Macaca fascicularis: one gene and its partners. The protein of the gene in region 1 interacts with the protein of each later gene in a pairwise test. Links are inferred from orthologs where the notes say so. Each region holds a gene or a part of one and is shown on either strand. Other genes may lie near its edges. The genes, in order: PRKAB2, MAGED1, GRN, UBXN11, RHEBL1, PYGM and CDX4.

Region 1 (3,500 bases):
TCATATCAGAATCTGAGGGTTATTCTTAGGCATATGTCAAATTCTTGATTCTAACGCAGCCAGTTAGGCAAGGGTGCATCGTTCTGATAATATGTAGTTTTCTCTGAAGTCAATTCCTTATGTGAAAGTCCTTTCAATTCTCTTTCTCTATTTACTTTGGATTATCCTGCTGCTGATGTCTTATACTGTAGTTTTGAGGAATATCAAGAGAATGTATGGAGGGGAAACTATGTCAACCATTTTGAAAAGAAAGCCCATATGAATAAGCTAGTCCTTTAAAAAAAAGAAAAAGAAAAAGAAAAACCCCACATTATTCTATTTAGTAATACTTAGGCTTAATACTATACAGTCTTCTTCACCAAAGTCACTTAAACCAGTCTAAAACAGGGGTCAGCAATCTTTCTGTAAAGGGCCAGATAGTAAACAGTTTAGACTTTGTAGACCATACAGTCTCTGCTATAGCTACACAATTCTGCCACTCTAGCATGTAAGCAACTATAGGCAATATAGGTAAGCAAGGCAGGTATTTTGGTTCATACCTCTAGTCTCAGCTTCTCTGGAAACTGAGGTGGGAAGATGGCTTGAGCCCAGGAGTTCAAGGCTGCAGTGAGCTATGATCACACCACTCACTGCATTCCAGCCTGGGTGATAGAGCAAGGTCCTTTCTCAGTCAATCAGTAAATAAAATAATAGGTAAACAAACGGGCAGAGCTATTTTCAAATAAAACTTGATAAAAGCATCTAGCTCACTGGCTGGCTGCCAACTCTTGGTCCAAAGGATAGTAATGAAAAGAAACTGGAGTTACTGTTTTTACAATCCCACAAACCTCATTTAATAAGAGAGCTACTTTTGACAAAGGAAATTGTTTTTTTGATCTCTTGCTCCTTGAGGTTCTAGAATTTTTATTCCTACTCCTGAAATAATTAGTGTAAACCTGGGATAGGGGAGTAAGTAAGATTTCATAGCCACTTCTCAAGTTTTAAGAAATCAGTGATCTGGTTTTTGAATTTTTAATGTTTCTTCTTTTTGTAACTTGTTAGCTGAAATAGAGTTTATGAATTACTTATAAACTAGAATTTTGATATCTCTAACTTCCATTACAACTGGTAATTGAGAACTATTCATATTTGCCTATAAAAGTATATGGCTGACTTAATTATTTTTTACAGAACCATACTTTGTTTTCATTTTTTTTCTCTCTCTTAAAAAAGACTCGGCCGGGCGCAGTGGCTCAAGCCTGTAATCCCAGCACTTTGGGAGGCCGAGGCGGGTGGATCAGGAGGTCAGGAGATCGAGACTATCCTGGCTAACATGGTGAAACCCCGTCTCTACTAAAAATACAAAAAACTAGCCGGGCGAGGTGGCGGGCGCCTGTAGTTCCAGCTACTTGGGAGGCTGAGGCGGGAGAATGGCGTGAACCCGGGAGGCGGAGCTTGCAGTGAGCCGAGATCACGCCACTGCACTCCAGCCTGGGAGACACAGCGAGACTCCGTCTCAAAAAAAAAAAAAGACTCAGTAACAGGCTGGGCACGGTGGCTCACACCTGTAATCTCAGCACTTAGGGAGGCCAAGGTGGGCTGGTCACGAGGTCAGGAGATCGAGACCATCCTGGCTAACACGGTGAAACCCCGTCTCTACTAAAAAATACAAAAAAATTAGCCAGGCGTGGTGGCGGGTGCCTGTAGTCCCAGCTACTCGGGAGGCTGAGGCCTGAGAATGGCGTGAACCCGGGAGGTGGAGCTTGCAGTGAGCTGAGATCACGCCACTGCACTCCAGCCTGGGTGACAGAGCAAGACTCTGTCTCAAAAAATAAAAAATAAAAAAAATAAAAAATAAGAAAGACTCAGAAGCATATCATAATTGCCTGCCTATGAGTTAAACTAGTGGTAGGGAGTTAGTTTTTTTTCTTTTTTTTTTTAAAGGGAGAGTCTAAGGCTGTGAAAGGGTGAGTGATATAGGTAGACTCAAAAGTTAAGCTGTGATTTAGGCAGTGCTTGAGCATAGGCCATTTGACCATTTTTGGTCCTAGATGAGTTCTTTTTCTATAATTTGTTCAAACTCTGATTTAGTTGCTAATTTTGGGGTTTATATCCTTAGCCAAAGCCTAGCACCCTTCTCTACTCTAGGAAGGAGAGTGACCTTTTTAGAATTCTTGGGTCACAGTTTATTCTAGGGATGACCTACTCCTTCTTACAGCTCCCTGGGGACAAAGAGTTTGTATCATGGCAGCAGGATTTGGAGGACTCCGTAAAGCCCACACAGCAGGCCCGGCCCACTGTTATCCGCTGGTCTGAAGGAGGCAAGGAGGTCTTCATCTCTGGGTCCTTCAACAATTGGAGCACCAAGATTCCACTGATTAAGAGGTGACAAGTATCTTGGTTGAATCTAAGGGTCCAGGAATAGAGACCTGATTTCTTTTCTCAGAAGAGAGACCCAGCTGGACTACTTTTCTCCACCTGCTAAGGACTCTCTCTAGAACATATCTCTGTGGCCACTTAGTATATCTGTGGGATTTTTTTTAACCTCATAGTGAGTCAGAGGTCTTTTATCCCTTAGAATTTCATTGCCTCAGAGGGATTCATAATAGCTTTGTGACTACATTCTTTAGGACTGTGTCATACAAGTCCTGTCTCTGCTTGTGGGAAGTCTTCTGTAACTGGCTGAGTCTTGTTGCTCTGACTTCCGCACTAAAGCAAAACATATTTTGAAGTTCTAGGTAGTCATGTTATTCGTTGCTTCCAAAGCAATAATGAATGATTTAACTGGTTGTCAGAATGAGCCTTTGTATGGTAGTTCATTTTCCAGAAAAGGTTCACCAAAACAAAGTACCTTGAGGCACTTCTGTATCCTGAACCTACCTATCTCATTTGCACTGCTGAGGAACTTGTTCTACTGAAGCAAAATAGTTATACTAGGTGAACCATTTGAGGGGATTAATGTTTTTATTATTCTTTTCCAGATATTGGTTAAGAACTAACGTTGTTGGGAGGAGCTGGTAAATACATGTCCAAGATGATACAGAAAAGGAGAATGGGTTTATATGTTGTTTTTTACACCAGGGATACAAGGCTTAGGAATCTGGGAAGTTATTCATATGATACTATGATTGCCATTTGTTTTTTACATTCAGTCTTCTAAAAGAAACTTGGCCTGTCTGCCTTTCTTTTTTCTTCTGTAGCCATAATGACTTTGTTGCCATCCTGGACCTCCCTGAGGGAGAGCACCAATACAAGTTCTTTGTGGATGGACAGTGGGTTCATGATCCATCAGAGGTAAGGCCTTGATCTCCAAGGGTAACCATTGACTTAGCAGTCTCATTTTAGCTGTCATTTCTGTCAAGACTGATGGGCAACTGCCCCTCTACACTGGAGGATTTCTCTCTTGATAAAATGTGGAGGTGCTGAGTACAATCATGTGTAAATTTTAGTAAAAAAGGAAGGTTGGATGGGAGAGAGAGATTTGAAAGATTCAATAATTTTTTGTATTCACTGTTTCAGCC
Region 2 (3,339 bases), on another chromosome or scaffold:
AACTTCCACCTCCTAGGTTCAAGCAATTCTTGTGCCTCAGCCTCCTGAGTAACTGGGACTTCAGGTGCCTGCCACCATGCCCGGCTGTTTTTGTATTTTTAGTAGAGATGGGACTTCACCATGTTGGCCAGGCTGGTCTCAAACTCCTGACCTCAAGCAATTCACCCACCTCTGCCTCCCAAAGTGCTGGGATTACAGGTGTGAGCCATCATGTCCAGCCAGAATTCTTCTAATTTTTCTACTTTTCTAAGTAGTTGTCTTGCAAGTGAAGCCCATCCACCATCCCCACAGTAGACATTCCCAAGGCTGGGCCAGGCTGACACTTTTGCACTACATTGTAATCATTTCAATGGACCTCTGTGGCTCACTGACAAGATTACAAAAATCTGGAGCTAGAGCTGAGGCAGAAGGAGTGAAATGAAATGTTGTCCTTTCTGTGACCCTATACAAACGTCGCCTGCAGCTCTAAGTGAGTGCTTAGTGTTCTGGTGCAGGAATTCAAGGCTTGATGATTAAGGGGTAAATACCCTGATGGTGTTCAGGAATGAGCCCGAGGGGGAGTTGCTATTTGAAATCTGATGTTAAAAAATGTAGGATTATTTTTCATTACTGGACTACCATTCTGCCCGGGTAGGTAGACACAAAGACTGTTTTGCTCTTTCAGATACCTGGACTACAGACGAGTGCCCAACAGCAACCCCCCAGAGTATGAGTTCCTCTGGGGCCTCCGTTCCTACCATGAGACTAGCAAGATGAAAGTGCTGAGATTCATTGCAGAGGTAATGTGCCAACCAGCATTGATAGGTCAAGGGATGAAGTATCGCTGGCTGGGAAAGGTCCAGGGTAGGAATGAGATCCTAGGTATGGCACGTGATAGGTGCTGCATTGCTGGTGGTATTTGTTGTTGTTGTTAGGTAAACTTAACATGCATTAGGTGCTAACATATGTTAATATATTAGCTAATACAATTATGAGTTTGTTTTGGTTTTTTTTTTTTTTAGGTTTTTAAAGTATTTTTATTTTTTCCCAACTTTACTAAAGTATAATTGACAAAAATTGTATATATTTATGGTGTACAATGTAATTTTTAAGTATTTTGTTTTGTTTTATTTATTTATTTTCTCCTGAGATGGAGTTTTGCTGTGTTGCCCAGGCTAGAGTGCAGTGGCGCGATTTTGGCTCACTGAAACCTCTGCCTCCCGGGTTCAAGCGATTCTTGTGCCTCAGCCTCCCAAGTATCTGGGATTACAGGCACGTGCCACCACCATGCCTGGCTAAATTTTTATTTTTCTATTAGAGACAGGGTTTCGCCATGTTAGCCAGGCTGGTCTCGATCTCCTGACCTCAAGTGATCTGCCTGCCTCAGCCTCCCGAAGTGTTGGGATTACAGGCGTGAACCACTGTACCCAGCACATTCATTTATTTTTAATTGACTAATAAAAAGTATATATATTTATGGGGCACAGTATGATGTTTTGATAATACATGTCATGTACATTGCGGAATGATTATATCAAGCTAGTTAACTCTCCGTAGCTTCATATACTTGACATTTTTTTTTTGTGATGAGAACATTTAAAATGTACTCTTTTAGCAATTTTAAATAAACAACATATTATTATTAACTATAGTCATCATGCTATATGGTCAATCTCCAGAACATACTCTTCCTATCTAACTGAAATTTTGTACCTTTTAACCAATATTTCCCCATCCCTCCTGACCCCAGGCCCTGGAAACTATCATTCTACTCTCTGTTTCTATGAGTTAGACCTTTTTAGATTCCATGTATAAGTGAAGTCATGCAGTATTTGTCTTTCTGTGTCTGACTTACTTCACTTAGCATAATGTCATCCAGCATCATCCATGTTGTTGCAAATGGCAGAATTTCCTTCTTTTTAAAGGCTGAATAGTATTCCACTGTGTGTGTGTGTATCACATTTTCCTTATCCATTCATCCATTGATGGACACGTAGGTTGATTCCGTATCTTGGCTATTGTAAATAGATTTTGTTTTGTTTTCTATTCCTCATCTCAGGTTCAGAAAAGAGACCCTCGTGACTGGACTGCACAGTTCATGGAGGCTGCAGATGAGGCCTTGGATGCTCTGGATGCTGCTGCAGCTGAGGCCGAAGCCCGGGCTGAAGCAAGAACCCGCATGGGAATTGGAGATGAGGCTGTGTCTGGGCCCTGGAGCTGGGATGATATTGAGTTTGAGCTGCTGACCTGGGATGAGGAAGGAGATTTTGGAGATCCCTGGTCCAGAATTCCATTTACCTTCTGGGCCAGATACCACCAGAACGCCCGCTCCAGATTTCCTCAGACCTTTGCTGGTCCCATTATTGGTCCTGGTGGTACAGCCGGTGCCAACTTTGCTGCCAACTTTGGTGCCATTGGTTTCTTCTGGGTTGAGTGAGATGTTGGGTAGGTACATCACTTTGGATTGGGCAGTTAGGGTCTCTGGGGGATATAGGGTCCATGGGATTGTATTTATGTGCATGAGCTAGGAGTCTTAGGAAACTCATTGTAGGGAGGTGAGGAAAGTATGGGGCAGCACTCTTTGGTGTGTATATTCCTTATTATTTGATATATATCATTGATTTTTTTACTTTTTTTTCTTATGTTCACAGATATTGCTATCAATCGCAATAGTCTTTCCCCTGTGTGAGGCTGAAGCCTCAGATTCCTTCTAAACACAGCTATCTAGAGAGCCACATCGTGTTGACTGAAAGTGGCATGCAAGATAAATTTATTTGCTGTTCCTTGTCTACTGCTTTTTTTCCCCTTGTGTGCTGTCAAGTTTTGGTATCAGAAATAAACATTGAAATTGCAAAGTGAATTAGATGTGCTCTCTGCTTCTTTTTTTCCCTATATTTGGGGAGCGAGCAACATGTTTATGTGGGAGAGACAGGACCTCGGCTCTAGTTTGAAGGGGGTAGATCAGCTTTCAGCAGGTGGAAATATGGGAAGATCCAGCTACTGGATTGGGATACAAAGGCAGTATCAATGAACACGAGACCCAAGAACTTGTATAGTTTATTCAATAAATATCACTTAAGTGATTCTCATGTGACAGATATGCTGCTAGGTGTCCTGGAGTGACATTGCGAGAATTGCATAGTGAGAGAGGGTATAGGTGCTCAGACAGTTGCACTTAAGAACACAGCGGAGGTGGAACTCCAGGTGATGATAAAGTCCAGAGAGTAGGTAGTTGAAAGGGACAGAAGGTGACTATTCTGGAGATAAGGGGTCCATGGCCTGTGATTCTAGGGTGTTGGTTATACAACCCATGTGGAAAGTGAAATAACTCCAGGAGGGCAGCAGGAGTAGGAGCAGAGA
Region 3 (4,028 bases), on another chromosome or scaffold:
CCCTGCCAAGCCTGCCCTTCCCATCTGGTTTCCCAAGGCTCTTCCCAACACCACCTCCTCCACCTGCCAGTTAAAATCTTCCCAAACTCAGCTCAAGGAGATGCTTCTAAGGTGGAATGAAATATCTTCTTCCCCACCTGTAGACAATCTACTTCCTCTCCCACACCTGGCAACTGGCGCACGACCTTGTATATTAAATTAGATTCAGCCTGAGACTGTCTCCCACCAATCCCTGCCCCCTGTCCTGCTGAGCACCTGGAGGAAAGGGCTTTTGGGCTGTTTATCTTTGTCCTGGAAACCATCCTTCAACTCACTCTGGGCCCTGCCTAGCATGTCATCCGAGTTTGCAGAATAGAGCAGGACAGGACAGGGCAGGATAGGATAGGATAGGAGCGAGTGAGCCCGGTAGCTCACACCTGTAATCCCAGTTCCTCGGGGGCCTGCGGTAGGAGAATCGCTTTGGGAGCAGGAGTTGCAGGCCGCAGTGAGCTATGATCAGCTTGGGCGACCGAGCGAGACCCTTTCTCTAAAACAAACACACAAGGTCGGGTGCGGTGGCTTAGGCCTGTAATCCCAGCGCTTTGGGAGGCCGAGGCGGGCGGATCACGAGGTCAAGAGATCAAGACCATCCTGGCCAACATGGTGAAACCCCGTCTCTACTAAAAATACAAAAATTAGCTGGACTTGGTGGCGCGCGCCTGTAGTCCCAACTATTCGGGAGACTGAGGCAGGAGAATCGCTTGAACCCGGGAGGCAGAGGTTGCAGTGAGCCGAGATCGTGCCACTGCACTCCAGCTTGGCGACAGAGTGAGACTCCATCTCAAAACAAACAAACAAACAAAAGAATAGAAAGAGGAGCACAAATATTCCCAATTCATAACAGTCCCTCGCACTGTCAATGCCCCAGACACGCGCTATCATCTCTAGCAAACTCCCCCAGGCACCTGCAGGATGGGTGAAGGAAGGCGACGAGCACCAGCTGCCCTGCTGAGGCTGGCCCGGCGTCACATGATTTTCCAATCACATGATCCCTAGAAATGGGGTGTAGGGCGAGAGGAAGCGGGGAGGAGAGTGATTTGAGTAGAAAAGAAACACAGCATTCCAGGCTGGCCCCACCTCCACATTGATAAGTAGCCAATGGGAGTGCGGCAGCCCTGATCCCTGGCCAATGGAAACTGAGGTAGGCGGGTCACCGCGCTGGGATCTGTAGTCTGAGCGCTGCCCGGTTGCTGCTGCCCAGGGACCGCGGACCCGGACGCAGGTAGGAGGGCGGCCGCGCAGACCTCTGGCCTGCTCCTGCCCAGGGGCCCGGCTAGGGCCATGTGAGCTTGAGGTTCCCCGGGAGTCTCAGCCGGAGACAAGACAAGAACCGCTTATTGAAACTCCTTGGGGGTTCTGATACACTAGAGGGAGTTTTATGGGAAAGAGGAAGCAGTAACTGCAGTGACCTCTGTTAGAAGGGGGCTTTCTACCTCCCCAGCATTCCCCCAAAGCAGGGACCACACCATTCTTGACTCAGCTCCACCCCTGTCGGTAGGTGCCGGCTTCTTTCCCTCTCGTGGTGGTGGTGGGTGGTTCCCGCGGCGGCCTGAAGCCGGAGGGGCGCGCGACCCTGGGCTGGGAGCTCCGAGGGCCTGGGAACGGGACCTGAAACCTTGGCTTCTCGAAGGTAGTAGGGACTTGGGAGTGGTGACTGAACCTGGTCTGGCTCCTCCTTACTTCCTCTTTTTGGGGGTGGGACGAGCTAACTTCCGCCTCTCCCAGCCACTTTTTCCTGCTCAGTTGCAGCTAGGCTGGCTCCCCTTTTGGGAATTTCCTCTCCCCTTGGCACTCGGAGTTGGGGGCTGCCACCTAGTGGAAGATAACGGAGCTAGGGTCTTGAAGAGGCTGCTGTCCCCTCTGGCTGTTTTGGCGGTGTAGGGTGGCGTGAGAGACTGCGACTCGCCTCCTCATCCCTGTTTCTGTATGTGTGTGCATGTATTCAGTAGAAGCATACACTATACTCCCTCAACTCAGGGTAAACAGGAGGGGCCATGCACAGGTAACTCACCAGAGAGCTGAACACTCCTGTGCAGACAGACTCCCCTTCCCAGCAAGCCAGGGCAGCGGACAGCCTGCTGAGAACACGCAGGAAGTAGGCGGTGCCAGCTGCAGGTGCTTTGCCTGGGAGCTGTGGGGCTGAGGAGAGGGTCCACTGTCCAGGACCAGTCAACTGCATCCTTATCTGTCCAGGAGGTGGCCTCTTCGGGATGCTGAGTTAGGGGAGGGGCACTTGAGGAAAGCCAATTGGAGCAGAGAGGATGTGAGTGACTGGGTGGGTGACATTTCCTGCCCTTCCCCCCTCCAATGATATCCACACAAGACTCGTGGGGGAACTGAGGCACAGACAGGGAGCAACTTCTCAGGCCCTCACAGTTGGCAATTCCAGGATTAGGACTCAAGTGCGATTTCCAGGCAGTCCCTGTTTCTGTGGTACCTGTTGCACCTATCCCCCTGGGGCGTAGGGGTCCATTCTCAGGCACTGCCCATTGTGCCACTAGTGATATTAACCCAGGTCCAATACGCTCTGGGGCCATCAAAGCCTGTCGTCACCATGACCTGATGTGTGACATGTTATCGGTGTCCCTTGGTATCTTCATGGAACTGGTTCCAGGACCCCAAAGTCTGGGTGCTCAAGTCCTTGATACAAAATGGTGTGATATTTGCATATAACCTATACATACTTTAAATCATTTCTAGATTACTTATGCCTAATACAATGGAAATGCCATGTTGGCTGGGCACGGTGGCTCATGCCTGTAATCCCCACACTTTGGGAGACTGTGGTGGGTGGATCACCTGAGGTCAGGAGTTCGAGACTGGCAGCCTGGCCAACATGGTGAAACCCCTATCTCTACTAAAAATACAAAAATTAGCCAGGTGTGGTAGCAGACTCAGGAGGCTGCTCAGGAAGCTGAGGCAGGAGAATTGCTTGAACCCGGGAGGCAGAGGTTGCAGTGAGCTGAGATTGCGCCACTGTACTACAGCCTGGGCGTCAGAGCAAGACTCCGTCTCAAAAAAAAAAAGAAAAGAAAAGAAAAGAAAAAGAGTGCAGCACACCAACATGGCACAAGTATACATATATAACAAACCTGCACGTTATGCACATGTACCCTACAACTTAAAGTATAATAATAATAAATAAATTTAAAAAAAGAAAAGAAAAAGAAATGCCATGTAAATAGTTGTGATCCTGAATTGTTTAGGGAATAATAAGAAAGAACAATCTGTACATGTTCAGTATAGATGCACCCATCCTAAGCCTAACTACATAGTATACCTCAGCAACAATGTAACATTTTCTGGGGTTTTTGTTTTGTTTTGTGAGACGGAATCTCAGTCTCGCTCTATCACCCAGGCTGGAGTATGGTGGCACGATCTCCTCCACTCACTGCAACCCCCACCTCCTGGGCTCAAGCGTTTTCCTGCCTCAGCCTCTTGAGTAGCTGGGATTACAGGTGTGCACTACCACGCATGGCTAATTTTTGTATTTTTAGTAGAGATGGGGGTTTCACCATGTTGGTCAGGCTGGTCTCGAACTCCTGACCTCGTGATCCGCCCACTTAGGCCTCCCAAAGTGCTGGGATTAGAGGTGTGAGCCACCACACCCAATATTTTTTGATCTCTGGTTGGATACGGAGGGCTGACTGTACTTAACATCTCTGAGCTTCAGTTTCTTCCTTTGAAAGTAAAAGTGGCTGGGCGTGGTGGCTCACGCCTGTAATCCCAGCACTCTGGGAGGCCGAGGTGGGTGGATCACGAGGTCAGGAGATCGAGACCATCCTGGCTAACACAGTGAAACCCCGTCTCTACTAAAATACAAAAAATTAGCCGAGCGTGCTGGCAGGCGCCTGTAGTCCCAGCTACTCAGGAGGCTGAGGCAGGAGAATGGCGTGAACCCAGGAGGTGGAGCTTGCAGTGAGCTGAGATAGCACCACTGCACTCCAGCCTGGGAGACAGGGAGAGTCCGTCTCAAACAAACAAACAAA
Region 4 (3,500 bases), about 96 Mb from region 1:
TCACAAGGCCCTGCTGTGGTAGCTCTTCCTGTCTCATTCTGTCAGTGCTGGTTTGCCCAGAGCTGTAGTTCCTTCTTCCTGGCCCCTGGTCTTCTCTCCACTCTGTGCTATCCAGCATCTGACTAGCCCACCTGCTTTTACTTCTTTAAGCCAGGGCTGTTTTCTTGGCAAGCTTCTCTCTTCCCTTTTGTCGTTTCTCGGCATCCTCCCTGGTCTGGCCCCATCCCATGTCGACCACCCATGTTCATCAGCCTGAAAAACCCCTGGCCCTGGGAGGTGACAGGAACACTGAATTAGGAGTTGGTGTATTTGGTGCTCTTCCTGGCTCTGTCTGGTCTGATCAGGCCATGTCATCTGACCTTTCTGGGCCTCACTTTCCCCATCTATAAAGAAGACAGAGCCCTGGCAACACAGCGAGACCCCGTCTCTTAAATTTTTTTTTTTTTTTAATTAGCAGAGTGTGGTGATGCTGCCTGTGGTCCCAGCTACTTGGGAGGCCGAGGTGGGAGGATCAGTTGAACCTGGAAGGTCGCGGTTGCAGTGAGTCATCACCGTGCCGCTGCACTCCAGCTTGGGTGACAGAGGGAGACCCTGTCTCAGAAAAAAAAAAAAAAAAAAAGAGGGTTGAGGCAGGCATTGTATGAGATTACCTATTCTGCTATTGTTTTTAGGTTTGCCTATTTGTATTTAAAGTAGTTGTTAAAATCATGTCTTGGTATCATTCTGTTAGGTGAGTTTTTCCAGGGCATCTCAGGGACTGTGGGGGAACCCCAGGAGGAGGTGGGGGCAGGTATAGCCCCTTCAGGGGTAGGAAGTGTAGGGGAGAGGAGAAGGCCAGCTGGGGCCTACCATTTCACCTGCTGCAAAAGCAACAGGAAGCACATCTGCACCTCCCTGGTACAGCCACTGCACCACTGAGAGGAAAGGAATTGGGTCCCCAGAGCCCTGACCCACATCCTGCCGCAGCCTGCCTGTCCTGTGAAAAACAGCCTCTCCGAGGCCCCGAAAGTTACTGGTGTGTTGTAGGGCACACCCGAACAGATGACTTACTTGGGGACCAGGTCCCATCAAAGATGACAGAACAGGCCCCTGGTCTGTCCCCAGCCAGCGTCTACCTGTCCTCCACTTTTCTGCTCTGTTATCCGTCATGGCTGGCCCCACCACTCCATATTCTCCCCCGAAGCCAGTGCACAGCTGTATGTGCCACACATTTTTCAGAAGAGGAGGACAGAGCTTTGTCAGCTTCTCAAAGGGGTCTGTGACCCAGAAATAGTTGCACAACCTACGGTCTGTTCCATATCTGTTCTGGCCAGCAGCTGTCCCTACATCCTCCCTAAGAGCCGTCTGTCCCTCTTCTGACCTCCCTCTCCTGAGATGGGTGGGGGAAACAGACTTGAGAGGCAGCCCCGACTCCCTTCCCAGTTCCTCCTCTCACCAATTGGCTTGGGACAAGTCATTTTTCATCTCAGTGGGCCTGTTTCCTCATGTGTAAAATGGAGCTAAATAACCCCTGCATCAGCCTGGCGTGGTGGCTCATGCCTGTAATCCCAGCACTGTGGGAGGCTGAGGCGGGCTGATCACCTGAGGTCAGGAGTTCCAGACCAGCCTGACCAATATGATGAAACCCCATCTCTACTAAAAATACAAAAATTAGCCGGGTGTGGTGGCATGCACATGTAATCCCAGCTACTTGGGAGGCTGAGACAGGAGAATCACTTGAACCCAGGAGGGGAGGTTGCGGTGATCCAAGATTGTGCCATTGCACTCCAGTCTGGGCAACAAGAGTGAAACTCTCTCAAATAAATAAAAATACCCCTGCCTCAAGCCTCAGGGTTGGCATAAGGACCATGTGTGCAAGGTGGAGTTGGGCACAGTAGCAAACATGGACAGGGTACGTGTTCCAAGCTGGCTCTTAGGAAGATAGCTGCTGTTACTATCTAGTGTTGTCCTTCCTTTTCCCCAGGGAGTCAGTTGAGGAGACACTAAGACCACTGCCCAGCCTGGGAGGGAGCCACAGAGACTAGGGCTGCTAGGGACACGGCAGCCAGGAGGCGGCTCATAGGTGTCTGTCCTCTTTGCCAGGGGACTCATTGGCACCCCCTGAGGTGGACTTTGACAGGCTGCTGGCCAGCCTGCAGGATCTTAGTGAGCTGGTGGTAGAGGGTGACACCCAGGTGACACCAGTGCCCGGCGGGGCACGGCTGCGTACCCTTGAGCCCATCCCACTGAAGCTCTACCGGAATGGCATCATGATGTTCGACGGGCCCTTCCAACCCTTCTACGATCCCTCCACACAGGTAGGAGCGGTGTTGGGGGGTTGGTGTTCTAATGCCCCTGCTGCCCACTGTTAGTTGGGGATGATGGAGTCAGTTCACCCCAGGTCCAGCCTGCCCTCCATGGGGCACCCAGGCCCACACACGACTTGCAGATGCCCCTTCCCCAAGGCCTGGGACTCAGCTTCCAGAGTGCAGCACTGGGTGACCCTGGATCTAGGGCCTGCCATCCAGACTAGTGGCAGGGCAGGGTGGGTCCAAGGCCCAGGCCACCCGCTCACTTTTCCTCTCCCCTTGCAGCGCTGCCTCCGAGACATATTGGATGGCTTCTTTCCCTCAGAGCTCCAGCGACTGTACCCCAATGGGGTCCCCTTTAAGGTGATGAGCTGCTCCTCAAACCACACCTTTGGGGATTTTGGAGGCTGTGAGGATACACAGCCTCCCCAGGCACCTCCCATTCTGAGGGAAAGCCACTGTGCCCCCTGGGGGACCCCAGTTTGATGCCCTCCAGGAGGATAAGCCTGAAGCTGGGCTGGGAAGGGAGCAGGGAGGACCGAAACAGAGCAGCAGGCAGCGCCCTCTGCTGGCACCCTGGAGACAGCCTCGGCTGCAGGGCCACTGCCTCCCAGTCCTCCCCAACTTTCAGGACACCTTGACAACCTGGGGTCCCTGCAGAAGTGACCCGGCTATCCCCCAAGTCTCCTGAAGCTATCTGGGTAGGGTGGGAGGCAGTGCTGTGAGCCACATGCAAAACAGAGGGGACAGATGTTGGGACTCAAGGACATAAGGTAGAGCTGGCCCATGGGTAGGTGCCACCACCGGAGCCCGTGAGGCTGCGTGTTCCAGAGGGTGGTGGGTTAGTGCCGCACTGAGGGCGTGTCAGGGAGGCAGCATGTGTCACCAGGGCTCAGGAAACAGCATGAGTCATGACTGGGGGTGTTTAAGGCATTTGTGCCACAATGGGGGCCTCGGAGCCTTGATGAGGCAAGTGAGGTTCCATGTACGATGATGCAGTTTGTGCTGCAGACTGGAAAAAAGCAGGGGCTTCGTCCTCTCCTGACCCCCTCACACTCTGCCTTCATGGTAGGCTCCTGAGAGGGGGTCTCCAAGGAGGGTGTCAGTACTGCAGCTTCAGCTGGCCTGGATGGGGTGCTTGCAGGAGCAGCAGGGCTGAGGAAGATGACAGCAGTATGAACTGTGGCTCTCCTGAGGCCTGGTTTTCCTCAT
Region 5 (3,056 bases), on another chromosome or scaffold:
TGGCAGGCGCCTATAATCCCAGCTACTCGGGAGGCTGAGGCAGGAGAATCGCTTGAACCCAGGTGGCAGAGGTTGCAGTGAGCTGAGATCGAGCCACTGCACTCCAGCTTGGGCAATAGAGTGAGACTCTGTCTCAAAAAAAAAAAAAAAAAAGTCAGGGGACATACATTGCTGGCCCTATAAGGCACCTCACAGTCAAGTTTTCTTTTCTTTTCAGCTTACAGCAAGATAGTGACTCTTGGCAAAGATGAGTTTCACCTACACCTGGTGGACACAGCAGGGCAGGTACCAGTTGGGGTATGGTATCCAAAAGTGGCAGTTCAGCCCTCAGAGATGAAGTCTGGTAGTCTTTGTGGCTCATCTGTAAAGTAGTATTAAAAGCATTTTACCTGTTAAGAGTATGCAGGGCTCATTGGAGCTGCTCCATAAATACTTGTTGAAGTGACTATAGTAGGGCGTGCCCCAGGGAGGGTCACCTGGATGTTGTCCCACCAACCTTTGCCATCTGAGTGGTTTGGATCTAGGTACTGATGTTTCCATTTCTTGACAGGATGAGTACAGCATTCTGCCCTATTCATTCATCATTGGAGTCCATGGTTATGTGCTTGTGTATTCTGTCACCTCTCTACATAGGTAAGTGACCAAGGTTGTGAGTGTGGGACTTAGGAAAACCTGAGGACTGTCTCATAAAGTTATAGCTCCAATTCTTGTGTTTAAAGCTTCCAGGTCATTGAGAGTCTGTACCAAAAGCTACACGAAGGCCATGGGAAAACCCGGTAAGTGGCCTTGGGGGATAGGGACATAGTGTGGGCATGAGGGAGTAGGAGAGAGCAGAGGGGAGAATTGTCAAGTTAGAGAGGCTCGGATATAGATCCTGCCTGGTCTGATAAGGAGTCGTCCAGCCTTGATATAAGGAGTTGGGGAATGAGGGGATTCTGAAATAACTGCTGTTTCCTCACAGGGTGCCAGTGGTTCTAGTTGGGAACAAGGCAGATCTCTCTCCAGAGAGGTATGTAAATCTCTGCTACTTAGAGGAAAAGGAAGTGAAATGGACTTGGAATCAGTCAGGCTCTCATCCTGGCTCTGCCACTGACTCAAACAAGTCATTTCACCTCTCTTTGTCTCTAACCTGAAGCTTAAGGAAGATAATACTTCTATCTTAAAAGCCACAATTTCATATTTCAAGCCTCAGTCCTAGATTCACCCATTGTTCCTTTGTTTACCTATATTTTCTCTTTCCACAGCCCTCCTCCCAAAACTTGGGGAAATGGCGTGGGTCAGAGGAAGTCTTTTTCTTCCTTCTTTTTTTTTGAGATGAAGTCTTGTTCTGTTGCCCAGACTAGAGTGCAGTGGCGTGATCTCGGCTCACTGCAACCTCTGCCACCTGGGTTCAAGCGATTCTCCTGCCTCAGCTTCCTGAGTAGCTGGGACTACAGGCGCATGCCACCACGCCCGGCTAATTTTTTGTATTTTTAGTAGAGACGGGGTTTCACTATGTTAGCCAGGATGGTCTTGATCTCCTGACCTTGTGATCCAGCCGCCTAGGCCTCCCAAAGTGTTGGGATTACAGGCATGAGCCACTGCGCACAGCCCATTTTCTTTTTAATAGAGATGGTATTTCACTGTGTTGCCAAGGCTGGTCTTGAACTCCTGAGCTCAAGTGATCCACCACCTCGGCCTCCCAAAGTGCTGCATTACAGGCATGAGCCACTAAGCCTGGCCAGGAAGCCTTGATTCTGAAGATTTTTCAGAGCACTTACCAACATTTCTATCCTCCATCTTTATGTCCCAAATTTGCTTCCAGAGAGGTACAGGCAGTTGAAGGGAAGAAGCTGGCAGAGTCCTGGGGTGCGACATTTATGGAGTCATCTGCTCGAGAGAATCAGGTGCTCGGCCCGAAGACTAGAAGGGTGGTGGTGGTAGCCGTGTTTTCCTTATTGTACTGCTTGGTGGGAATGTTGCAGGAATGGAGCTTTCACCCCAGAGCTGGGTGGTATTGGCACTGAACTGACTTTTGCCCTGAATCCTCTCCCCTTATAGCTGACTCAAGGCATCTTCACCAAAGTCATCCAGGAGATTGCCCGTGTGGAGAATTCCTATGGGCAAGAGCGTCGCTGCCATCTCATGTGAGCCCTTGGGTGTGGTGTAACTGCCTTGTTTCTGCCTCTGGCACTTGCCATGTTCCAGTGGGGGGTCAGACCCTCAGGACTTCACGGGTATGGTTGCCAGCTGTGTTCCTGACCCCTGGACACACAGTGTGGCATCCTCATGTTTGCACACTTTCCCCAGGCTCTAGTGGCCTGGATGTCAATGTTTACAAAGGGGCAAGGACCTCTCATGGACACTGGCCTCTAGCCCTCTGTTTTTGCTAGATGAATTCTGTTATAACCTGTGGGGTCAGGATATGAGTCCTGGGCATTATTTATCCAGGACCCATCCTCTTGGGTGAGTTTTGGGTGTTGGCTGGGTAAGGGGAGCCAGGGACTTCTGAAACAGAGCTGGCTCCCTGGGGTGACAATGTATATATGCAAATAAACTGAGAAATCTTTTGTTGTTGATTTCTTTTTCCTGTGTGTGTGTGAGACGGAGTTTCACTCTGTTGCCCAGGCTGGAGCGGTACAGTGCTGCGATCTCAGCTTGCTGCAACCTCCGCCTGCCAGGTTCAAGCAGTTCTCCTGCCTCAGTCTCCCACAGGCACCCGCCACCACGCCTGGCTATTTTTAGTAGAGATGGGGTTTCACCATGTTGGCCAGGATGGTCTCGAACTCCTGACCTTAAGTGATCCGTCCGCCTCAGCCTCCCAAAGTGCTGGGATTATAGGCGTGAACCACTACTCCCGGCCTTATTGTTGACATCTGTGTATCTAGGGAGAGCTCAGAGCCAGTATCTCTTTTTCCAAGGAGTCATGGCTGTGGTCTTTGGTGGGAAATCTTTCCTCCTACCTTGTTCCTATTCCTTATTCCTCACTTATTAACGACCATTATCCTAACTTGCCTTTCCTACCTTTCTATTCTGCTGGGTTCCTCATATACTGAGTCCAGTTGGCTGCCACTCCC
Region 6 (4,093 bases), on another chromosome or scaffold:
GAACCAGGCTCTCAATAGTATCCTGCAGCTGTCCAGGCTTTTGACCTGCTGCCTGCCCTCAGAACAGAAACCCAGCTCTTCCCGTCCACTGGCCCACCACCCGGGAGGCCCAGACAGCCTTTGAACTAGCACAAGGTCCTGGTTCCTTTCGCTTAAAGAACAGCAGGATCCAAAGCCTGCCCTCACAAGATGAGGCAGCAGCTGAGAGGAAGGAATTTATTTTTCTCATTGGAGACTCTAAATTTGATGAAGGAATCCAAAGCTCGGAAAGGTAAAGCAACAAACTTGAGGTCACACAGCAAGTCAGTGCTGGGGCCAGGACAAAGCGTGGAATGGGAGGATAGTCAAAGCCTCCAGGGAAGGGCCCGAAGCTGTGAGGCTATGCTCATGAATGGGGTGAGGTCCCCGAGGTACAGATTAGGCACCCATTTTATAGGGTGCCAGGTCACAGAGCTGGTTCACAAAATCCCTGCCCAGGGTGTGGCCCCAAGTGGCAGGAAGGAGTGAGAGAAGGCCTCCAATCACTTCCTAAGCAGTGGAATCACAGGGAGAACTTACTGTCATCAACCAGTATGATGACGGGGTGGGGAATGCCTCAGTTTCTCCCACCCCCAAGGGCCTACAGGACTACAGTTCCCAGGGCCCTGTGCTGCAGGCTAGCAGCCTCCCGCCAATGCTGGCCTGTAACCTGAGCATCCCTCTCCAAAAGGTCACTTCAGAGCTCCTTGAGGGACAGCAACAGGGGGAGCCCAGAGCTGCTCAGTTTCAGTGGGGGTGGAGTGAGGGCGGTGGCCCTGCCTCACACAACCTCCCTCACACCACCAGGGTTGTGGGCCCCCTTTCTCGAAGGGCCCCCTGTCTTGAAGACATTCTGCTAGTTGCACCTCTTCCGTAAGGGGACACTGACTTGCCTCCTGCACCGCAGCCTGCAGGGGGTCCTGGTTCCTTTTACCACAACACATGGCCTCCCATCCTGGTTTAGCCACTGGCAGACAGCTCCCCAATCCAGCACTCTTGCCTGATCTTTCTTGTATCCAACCCTGCAAAAGGCAGGGACAAGGGACAGAAGACCCGTGTGCAAGGCCTGGAGGAAGTGGGTCAGCACAGGCCTGTGAACAAGCCAGGCCAGTCTTGGAGGCCCAAGTGGAGCTCACCTCTCCCTCCCCTCCCCTCTCCTTCCTTTACCCTCAAAATAGCTCCCTGAGCTGCCAGGCCAAGACCCTCCCATTGCAGGGGAGGCGGGACGTGCTGCCCAGAGCCAGGCTTTAAATCCCCTTGAGCCTGGGGAGCTCTACTCCCTGGCTGGAGGCAGTGCTGAGGCTGCCGTCTCCTCCACCATCAGTCCAATCCGGCCCACCCTCCTGCAGCCATGTCCCGGCCCCTGTCAGACCAGGAGAAAAGAAAGCAAATCAGTGTGCGTGGCCTGGCCGGCGTGGAGAATGTGACTGAGCTGAAAAAGAACTTCAACCGGCACCTGCATTTCACACTCGTAAAGGACCGCAATGTGGCCACCCCACGAGACTACTACTTTGCGCTGGCCCATACCGTGCGCGACCACCTCGTGGGGCGCTGGATCCGCACGCAGCAACACTACTACGAGAAGGACCCCAAGGTGCTGCTGGGGACACCTGGGGTGGGGGTATGGGATGGAGGCACTGCCAGGGAGCTGGGGATCTTGATTTAAGTGGCTGCCCCTCGTCACTCTAGGTTCTTGGGGTTGGAGAATCCAGGGGTGCCAGGCACAAGTGGTGCTGGGACAATCTGAGGGAGAAACCTGGGGCGGGGGTGGGGGTCAGGGAGCTCAGAGCAGGTGGTCTGGCTGCAAAAGTGCCCACTCGGAGAAGGTTGGAGGGGGTGCTGGTGGGCAGGATGGCACCTGTGGCCTGGCTGGGCCCAGGTGGAAGGACATGTCAGTTGCTGCATGTATGCGTGGTGTGCCTGTGCAGCAGGAGGGGCTGGGGCAGCTCGGGTGCAGAGATCAAGTGTCCGGTGGGGTCACTGGTAAATGTCAGCAACCTGACACCCCTCAGTGGGGAGTGGGGGAGGAGCAGGCAGACGGGGCCCGGGAGGGGACCCAGGCAACCAGGAGACCAGGCACTGGCAGCATCCTAGTTTCTGGTGCCTCTGGGTCTCCTTGGGATTGAGGCTTGAGGGCCAAGGGGAACTGGGCAGTGCAAGGATGGGAGGTGACAGTCTCTAGCCCAGTCTCTAGCCACTGTGTGACCTTGAGCAAATGACCTTTTTCTCTGGGCCTTGGCCTTGCCCTCCTGGGGAGCTCTTGGAGGCGCTTCCGTGTGTCCTGGCGCCCTGCTGGGCAGTGCGGGGGCGTGTGTGCAGGGGGAAGGGGTTCCCACTCTCCCGAGCGCCTCAGTCCCTGAAGTGGGTATGGCCAGCGCCATTTCCCAGATAAGGAAACAGGCCAAAGAGAGTGATTTGTCCAAAGTCAGAGGAATGCTGGGACCAGAACCTTACCCGTTGGGCCCCAAAGCCTGAGACAGGGAGAAGCAAACTGGGGACAGGGATGGGACTGCTGAGCAGGGCAGGCGGCCCAGAGGTCCAGGTGTGGCTGGGTCTGGCTGAGTGTTGGTGTGTGGCCCTGACCCCATCCCCTGCCCGTCCGTCTCTCTGGGTAGAGGATCTACTACCTGTCTTTGGAATTCTACATGGGACGGACGCTACAGAACACCATGGTGAACCTGGCCTTAGAGAATGCCTGTGACGAGGCCACCTACCAGGTATGTGTGGGGTGGGGCAAGCCATGGGGACTGGGGGATTCCCCTGCTAACACTTGACCCTGACCACTGTCACCCTCACCCCTCCAGCTGGGCCTGGACATGGAGGAGCTGGAGGAAATTGAGGAGGATGCGGGGCTGGGCAATGGGGGCCTGGGCCGGCTGGCAGGTAAGTGGACAGGGCCTTGAGGGTGGAGGGGGCCGATGGGGTCCTCCGTGCTGGGTCCCTGACACCTGCCTCCCTGCACACCCCCAGCCTGCTTTCTCGACTCCATGGCAACACTGGGCCTGGCCGCTTATGGCTACGGGATTCGCTATGAGTTTGGGATTTTTAACCAGAAGATCTCCGGGGGCTGGCAGGTGAGCAGCCTTGGCTCTAACCTTGTGGGGTCTAGTCAGGATGGGGAAGACCCCCACTTGTTTATTATCTCTGAATAGGTCCGAAACAGCCCCCCAAGCTCTGTGGAACGCATCCCTGCTGCTCCCCACCCCCCAACCCAAAGCCAGCTGGTGCCCCTGAAACAGGTGGTCTATGTCCCACTGGATAGCCCAGTAGACCAGGGGCCCACCTCAGAGCCCCTAACTTACACTTGGTGTGGGGTACACGGGCCCACAGCCCCCGCCCTGCCCCACCGTGCACTGTGGTGTGAATGCCTGCGCTGATGCTGCCGGCCTTTCTCCCTGACCTGCCTTGGGTGCAGATGGAGGAGGCTGATGACTGGCTTCGCTACGGCAACCCCTGGGAGAAGGCCCGCCCCGAGTTCACACTACCTGTGCACTTCTACGGCCATGTGGAGCACACCAGCCAGGGTGCCAAGTGGGTGGACACACAGGTAAGGATGAAGCTGGGGGTCAGGGGAGCTCAGAGAAGGGGAGGGAAGAGAAGGAAGCCCAGAGAGGAAGCAGGACCCAGTGTATTTTATAACTGAGGATGCTGAGACTCAGAGAGGTTAAGTGACTTACTCAAAGTCACACAGCTGAAGCCAGGAAAGACTGGATACAGGGACACAGGGGAGCCAGTCTAAGTACTGAGCCTGGAAGGGGAGAGAGGCTGCCCTGCTCCCCCAGTGTCTCCCCATGACCTGGCTCCACCACACACCATGAGATTTATCAAAGGACCATCTTACGACTTGAGTCTGCCCTGAACATCTCGATAGCAGCAGCCCAGAAACGGGGACAGGAGAAAACTGGGACCTTCTGAAAGGAATTCACTCACCACACAGCAAGTTAGAGGAATCCTGAAACCAAACCAAATCTGGACACGGTGACTCATGCCCGTAATCCCAGCACTTTAGGAGGCCGAGGCAATAGGATGGCTTGAGTTCAGGATTTCAAGACCAGCCTGGGCAACATAGAGAGAC
Region 7 (2,943 bases), on another chromosome or scaffold:
CTAGGAAACTATGTAGCTATAGTGTCAGGATCCCACAAGTGTTTTCCACTCTTGGGCCATTATTATGCATCCCAGCATATTTGAACTTGGAATAACATTTAGTTAGCATGCTTAAATAGGAGTCAAAGATATATGCTTGGGTCCCCACTCCTCAATTCTCTAACACAAAGTCATTTACCCTGAGTTTCATGTTCTTATCTGTAAAATGGAGATAAGACATGTTCTGCACAATTCAAGAAGGTAGGTAAGAGGTTTAACAGGAACAGTATGGAAAGACTGCATAAAATGTAATGGGAAGTACCTGTATAATGGCATTACTATTACTGCCAATGCTAATCACATATGTAAGTGGGAAGGTAATAAACACCATGGGTTAAAGTGTTTAAGCATTTTCAATGCTCTGCTATAAAAATAGGTCAAGATGGGATGATTGTGATTTGACCAATCATTTTAGGAGAAACATTAATTAAAGAGATATTGATTTTATGTATAAAGAGAGATATAGATATATAGATATATGTCTATGTCTATAGATGGTAGACTGAGATATTGCTATCATAGCCACAGATGAGAATGTATTTAATGGAGAAATGGACTTTTATGAATATTTGATTCAAAAATATATTTATTTTATATTGTAAAGTAAAGATGAGGGTGGGAAGAGTGTCTATGATTTCTTTAACTAAAACAATCTCCAAGAAGCAGAAAATGATTAAATGCAATGCTTTCTCTCCTAACAGGTAAAACCAGGACAAAAGAAAAGTATCGTGTAGTTTACACTGATCATCAAAGATTGGAGTTGGAAAAGGAATTCCATTGCAACACATATATCACCATCCGGAGAAAATCAGAGCTGGCAGTTAACCTGGGCCTTTCTGAGAGACAGGTACACCAGAAGTATATCAAACATGTCCCATATAGTCAATTTCAATAGAATCAGAATTCTAGAATTGTAAACTCCCTTGATGCATTGCCTTATCCCAAGTAGCTTGCATTTCGACCACGTGTGAATGCACATTGATATTGCTCTTGTCTATCTCCAGCAAGAGATATATAATATTTCATCACCCTTGTTCACTCATTTATATGTTTCATTAATACTTTACTAACAGGAAGACAAATTTCCTATTAGTAATAGTATACTAATAGGAAGAAAAACTTCCTTCCTATACTATTAATAGTATACTATTACTGATAGGAAGATAAATTTTCTATTTTATTTTATTTTATTAATATTTTACTAATAGGACTTTTTAGTGAAATATTAATAAAACATAGAAATGGCTGATTATAATTACCTTTGCTATTTAAATATCTCTCTCTTATCAGCACTCCTCAGCATCTATCATTCCAGCGTTATTTATTTCCACCTGTGCAACAGAGGAGGCGGGTAAGGTATAATATTAAGATTATTGCATTCAGAGTTAGTAGCCCTAGACTTGGATCTCAGTTTCATCTCATGCAAAGTACTTGCCCTCTCTAAGTCTCAAGCTTTTTTTCTAACCTGTTAAGTGGGCATATTTCACAAGGTCATTGTGAGGCTCAAATGAAGTGATGCATATGAAGGGGCTTTGTAAATGCTAAAGTCTGTGTACAATATCAGAAATCACTAAGTTAACTGCATTCAGTATGTTGCTTCATTGTGTTTCAGGTGAAAATCTGGTTTCAGAATCGCAGAGCCAAGGAGAGAAAGATGATCAAAAAGAAATTCTCCCAGTTTGAGAATAGTGGAGGCTCGGTGCAAAGTGACTCTGGCTCCATCAGCCCTGGGGAACTGCCTAACACTTTTTTCACCACACCATCTGCTGTTCGTGGATTTCAGCCTATTGAGATACAGCAGGTTATAGTCTCTGAATGAAAGAAAGCAAAGAGAAATTTAAAGTGCTCTGTTTTTAGTGGTGCCTTTTGGGTCTCTAAGCTATCTGCAGGGGAGTTGGAGCAGGGTGTAATTCCCTGTAAGGCAGTATTTGGAACAGATGGATGTACAATGGGTTGAAGATAATTTAGAGGACTCTTACTTTTAGAAACTATCCCCAGAAAACTCCTGTCATGTGCTGTGCTATATGTCAGTCACTCAGGAAGCTTAGTAGTAAGCTATATAATTAAAAGCTAGAATCACAGGCCCTTCCAAGTCTGTTCACAATTTCAGAAACTTGCTTATGAATAGACTGTAAAATACAATTTTGCCAGAAAGCACATTTGTGTATGTGTACTTTTGTTTGTTATTTGATGCTAGGTGTTTTCTTTTATGCTATCTTTAAGGAGTGAAAAGAAAGTAAACCAAAGTTTATCTATCGTTAGCTACCTTTCTAAGTGTTTAATTCAAAAGCTAACATAATTTTTATAACAAGATAAATGTTTTAAAAATCATCAGAAGGTGATTCTGATTCCATTGTCACTACTTAACAAGAACAACCAATAAAATAGACAATTTTGGCCCTCAGTCATACTTGTCTGGCATCAATTATCTCAGAACTTTCAACCTGCAGTGTCATTTTAAAATCTTGTCAAAACAATGAACCCAGACTAAAACAAAAGAGGCCAGCTTGGTTGAGTAAGGCACATCTCCAACTCATAGAATAAACTCTACCCCCTCTTTTATCTCTCCATTCCCATTCCAGTAAGACTTGTGTAAGCACAAGACAGTGAACTGATATGTATCCCGTATGTGCCATCACCTTTCAACCTATTCAGTTTTACCCACATCATGTCATGTCAATGTAGTTTACTGGTTTATAATCCAAGAAGCTGCAGTTTACAGATTAAAAACACACAGCTTGACTAAGAAAAGGGGTTGCAGTGATCCAGGCTGCCAAGAGCTTTTAGTGTGGGTCCAGCATACTGTTTGCATATTGAAGTGGACAAAGACTAGGCTGCAAGTCCTTTTGAATTGAGATGGTTTAAAGGAAAGCTTGATTAAAGCGTAAAAGCCATCAGGGTACA

Evidence for each region.
Region 2: the proteins of PRKAB2 (region 1) and MAGED1 interact in binary tests that used the Homo sapiens proteins (3 or more experiments, as listed by UniProt). The link is inferred for Macaca fascicularis from reciprocal best matches to the Homo sapiens genes PRKAB2 and MAGED1.
Region 3: the proteins of PRKAB2 (region 1) and GRN interact in binary tests that used the Homo sapiens proteins (3 or more experiments, as listed by UniProt). The link is inferred for Macaca fascicularis from reciprocal best matches to the Homo sapiens genes PRKAB2 and GRN.
Region 4: the proteins of PRKAB2 (region 1) and UBXN11 interact in binary tests that used the Homo sapiens proteins (3 or more experiments, as listed by UniProt). The link is inferred for Macaca fascicularis from reciprocal best matches to the Homo sapiens genes PRKAB2 and UBXN11.
Region 5: the proteins of PRKAB2 (region 1) and RHEBL1 interact in binary tests that used the Homo sapiens proteins (3 or more experiments, as listed by UniProt). The link is inferred for Macaca fascicularis from reciprocal best matches to the Homo sapiens genes PRKAB2 and RHEBL1.
Region 6: the proteins of PRKAB2 (region 1) and PYGM interact in binary tests that used the Homo sapiens proteins (3 or more experiments, as listed by UniProt). The link is inferred for Macaca fascicularis from reciprocal best matches to the Homo sapiens genes PRKAB2 and PYGM.
Region 7: the proteins of PRKAB2 (region 1) and CDX4 interact in binary tests that used the Homo sapiens proteins (3 or more experiments, as listed by UniProt). The link is inferred for Macaca fascicularis from reciprocal best matches to the Homo sapiens genes PRKAB2 and CDX4.

Annotation. Positions count from the first base shown.
Region 1 is NC_088375.1:113,066,662-113,070,161, forward strand, and holds part of PRKAB2 (5'-AMP-activated protein kinase subunit beta-2), read left to right. Parts: intron 1-2,197; coding exon 2,198-2,364; intron 2,365-3,179; coding exon 3,180-3,273; intron 3,274-3,498; coding exon 3,499-3,500. UniProt on the Homo sapiens protein: Non-catalytic subunit of AMP-activated protein kinase (AMPK), an energy sensor protein kinase that plays a key role in regulating cellular energy metabolism.
Region 2 is NC_088395.1:51,968,158-51,971,496, forward strand, and holds the end of MAGED1 (melanoma-associated antigen D1), read left to right. Parts: intron 1-664; coding exon 665-779; intron 780-2,038; coding exon 2,039-2,416; 3' UTR 2,417-2,424; intron 2,425-2,630; 3' UTR 2,631-2,839; downstream 2,840-3,339. UniProt on the Homo sapiens protein: Involved in the apoptotic response after nerve growth factor (NGF) binding in neuronal cells. Inhibits cell cycle progression, and facilitates NGFR-mediated apoptosis. May act as a regulator of the function of DLX family members.
Region 3 is NC_088390.1:65,406,518-65,410,545, forward strand, and holds the start of GRN (progranulin), read left to right. Parts: upstream 1-1,228; 5' UTR 1,229-1,261; exon of another isoform or gene 1,262-1,669; intron 1,670-4,028. UniProt on the Homo sapiens protein: Secreted protein that acts as a key regulator of lysosomal function and as a growth factor involved in inflammation, wound healing and cell proliferation. Regulates protein trafficking to lysosomes, and also the activity of lysosomal enzymes.
Region 4 is NC_088375.1:208,855,670-208,859,169, forward strand, and holds part of UBXN11 (UBX domain-containing protein 11), read left to right. Parts: intron 1-2,082; coding exon 2,083-2,297; intron 2,298-2,573; coding exon 2,574-2,651; intron 2,652-3,500. UniProt on the Homo sapiens protein: May be involved in the reorganization of actin cytoskeleton mediated by RND1, RND2 and RND3. Promotes RHOA activation mediated by GNA12 and GNA13.
Region 5 is NC_088385.1:55,881,794-55,884,849, reverse strand, and holds the end of RHEBL1 (GTPase RhebL1), read left to right. Parts: intron 1-217; coding exon of another isoform or gene 218-285; intron 286-550; coding exon 551-633; intron 634-719; coding exon 720-776; intron 777-961; coding exon 962-1,009; intron 1,010-1,804; coding exon 1,805-1,886; intron 1,887-2,040; coding exon 2,041-2,130; 3' UTR 2,131-2,556; downstream 2,557-3,056.
Region 6 is NC_088388.1:9,632,221-9,636,313, forward strand, and holds the start of PYGM (glycogen phosphorylase, muscle form), read left to right. Parts: upstream 1-1,293; 5' UTR 1,294-1,369; coding exon 1,370-1,612; intron 1,613-2,633; coding exon 2,634-2,735; intron 2,736-2,822; coding exon 2,823-2,901; intron 2,902-2,988; coding exon 2,989-3,092; intron 3,093-3,433; coding exon 3,434-3,565; intron 3,566-4,093. UniProt on the Homo sapiens protein: Allosteric enzyme that catalyzes the rate-limiting step in glycogen catabolism, the phosphorolytic cleavage of glycogen to produce glucose-1-phosphate, and plays a central role in maintaining cellular and organismal glucose homeostasis.
Region 7 is NC_088395.1:80,248,307-80,251,249, forward strand, and holds the end of CDX4 (homeobox protein CDX-4), read left to right. Parts: intron 1-740; coding exon 741-886; intron 887-1,329; coding exon of another isoform or gene 1,330-1,390; intron 1,391-1,651; coding exon 1,652-1,858; 3' UTR 1,859-2,443; downstream 2,444-2,943.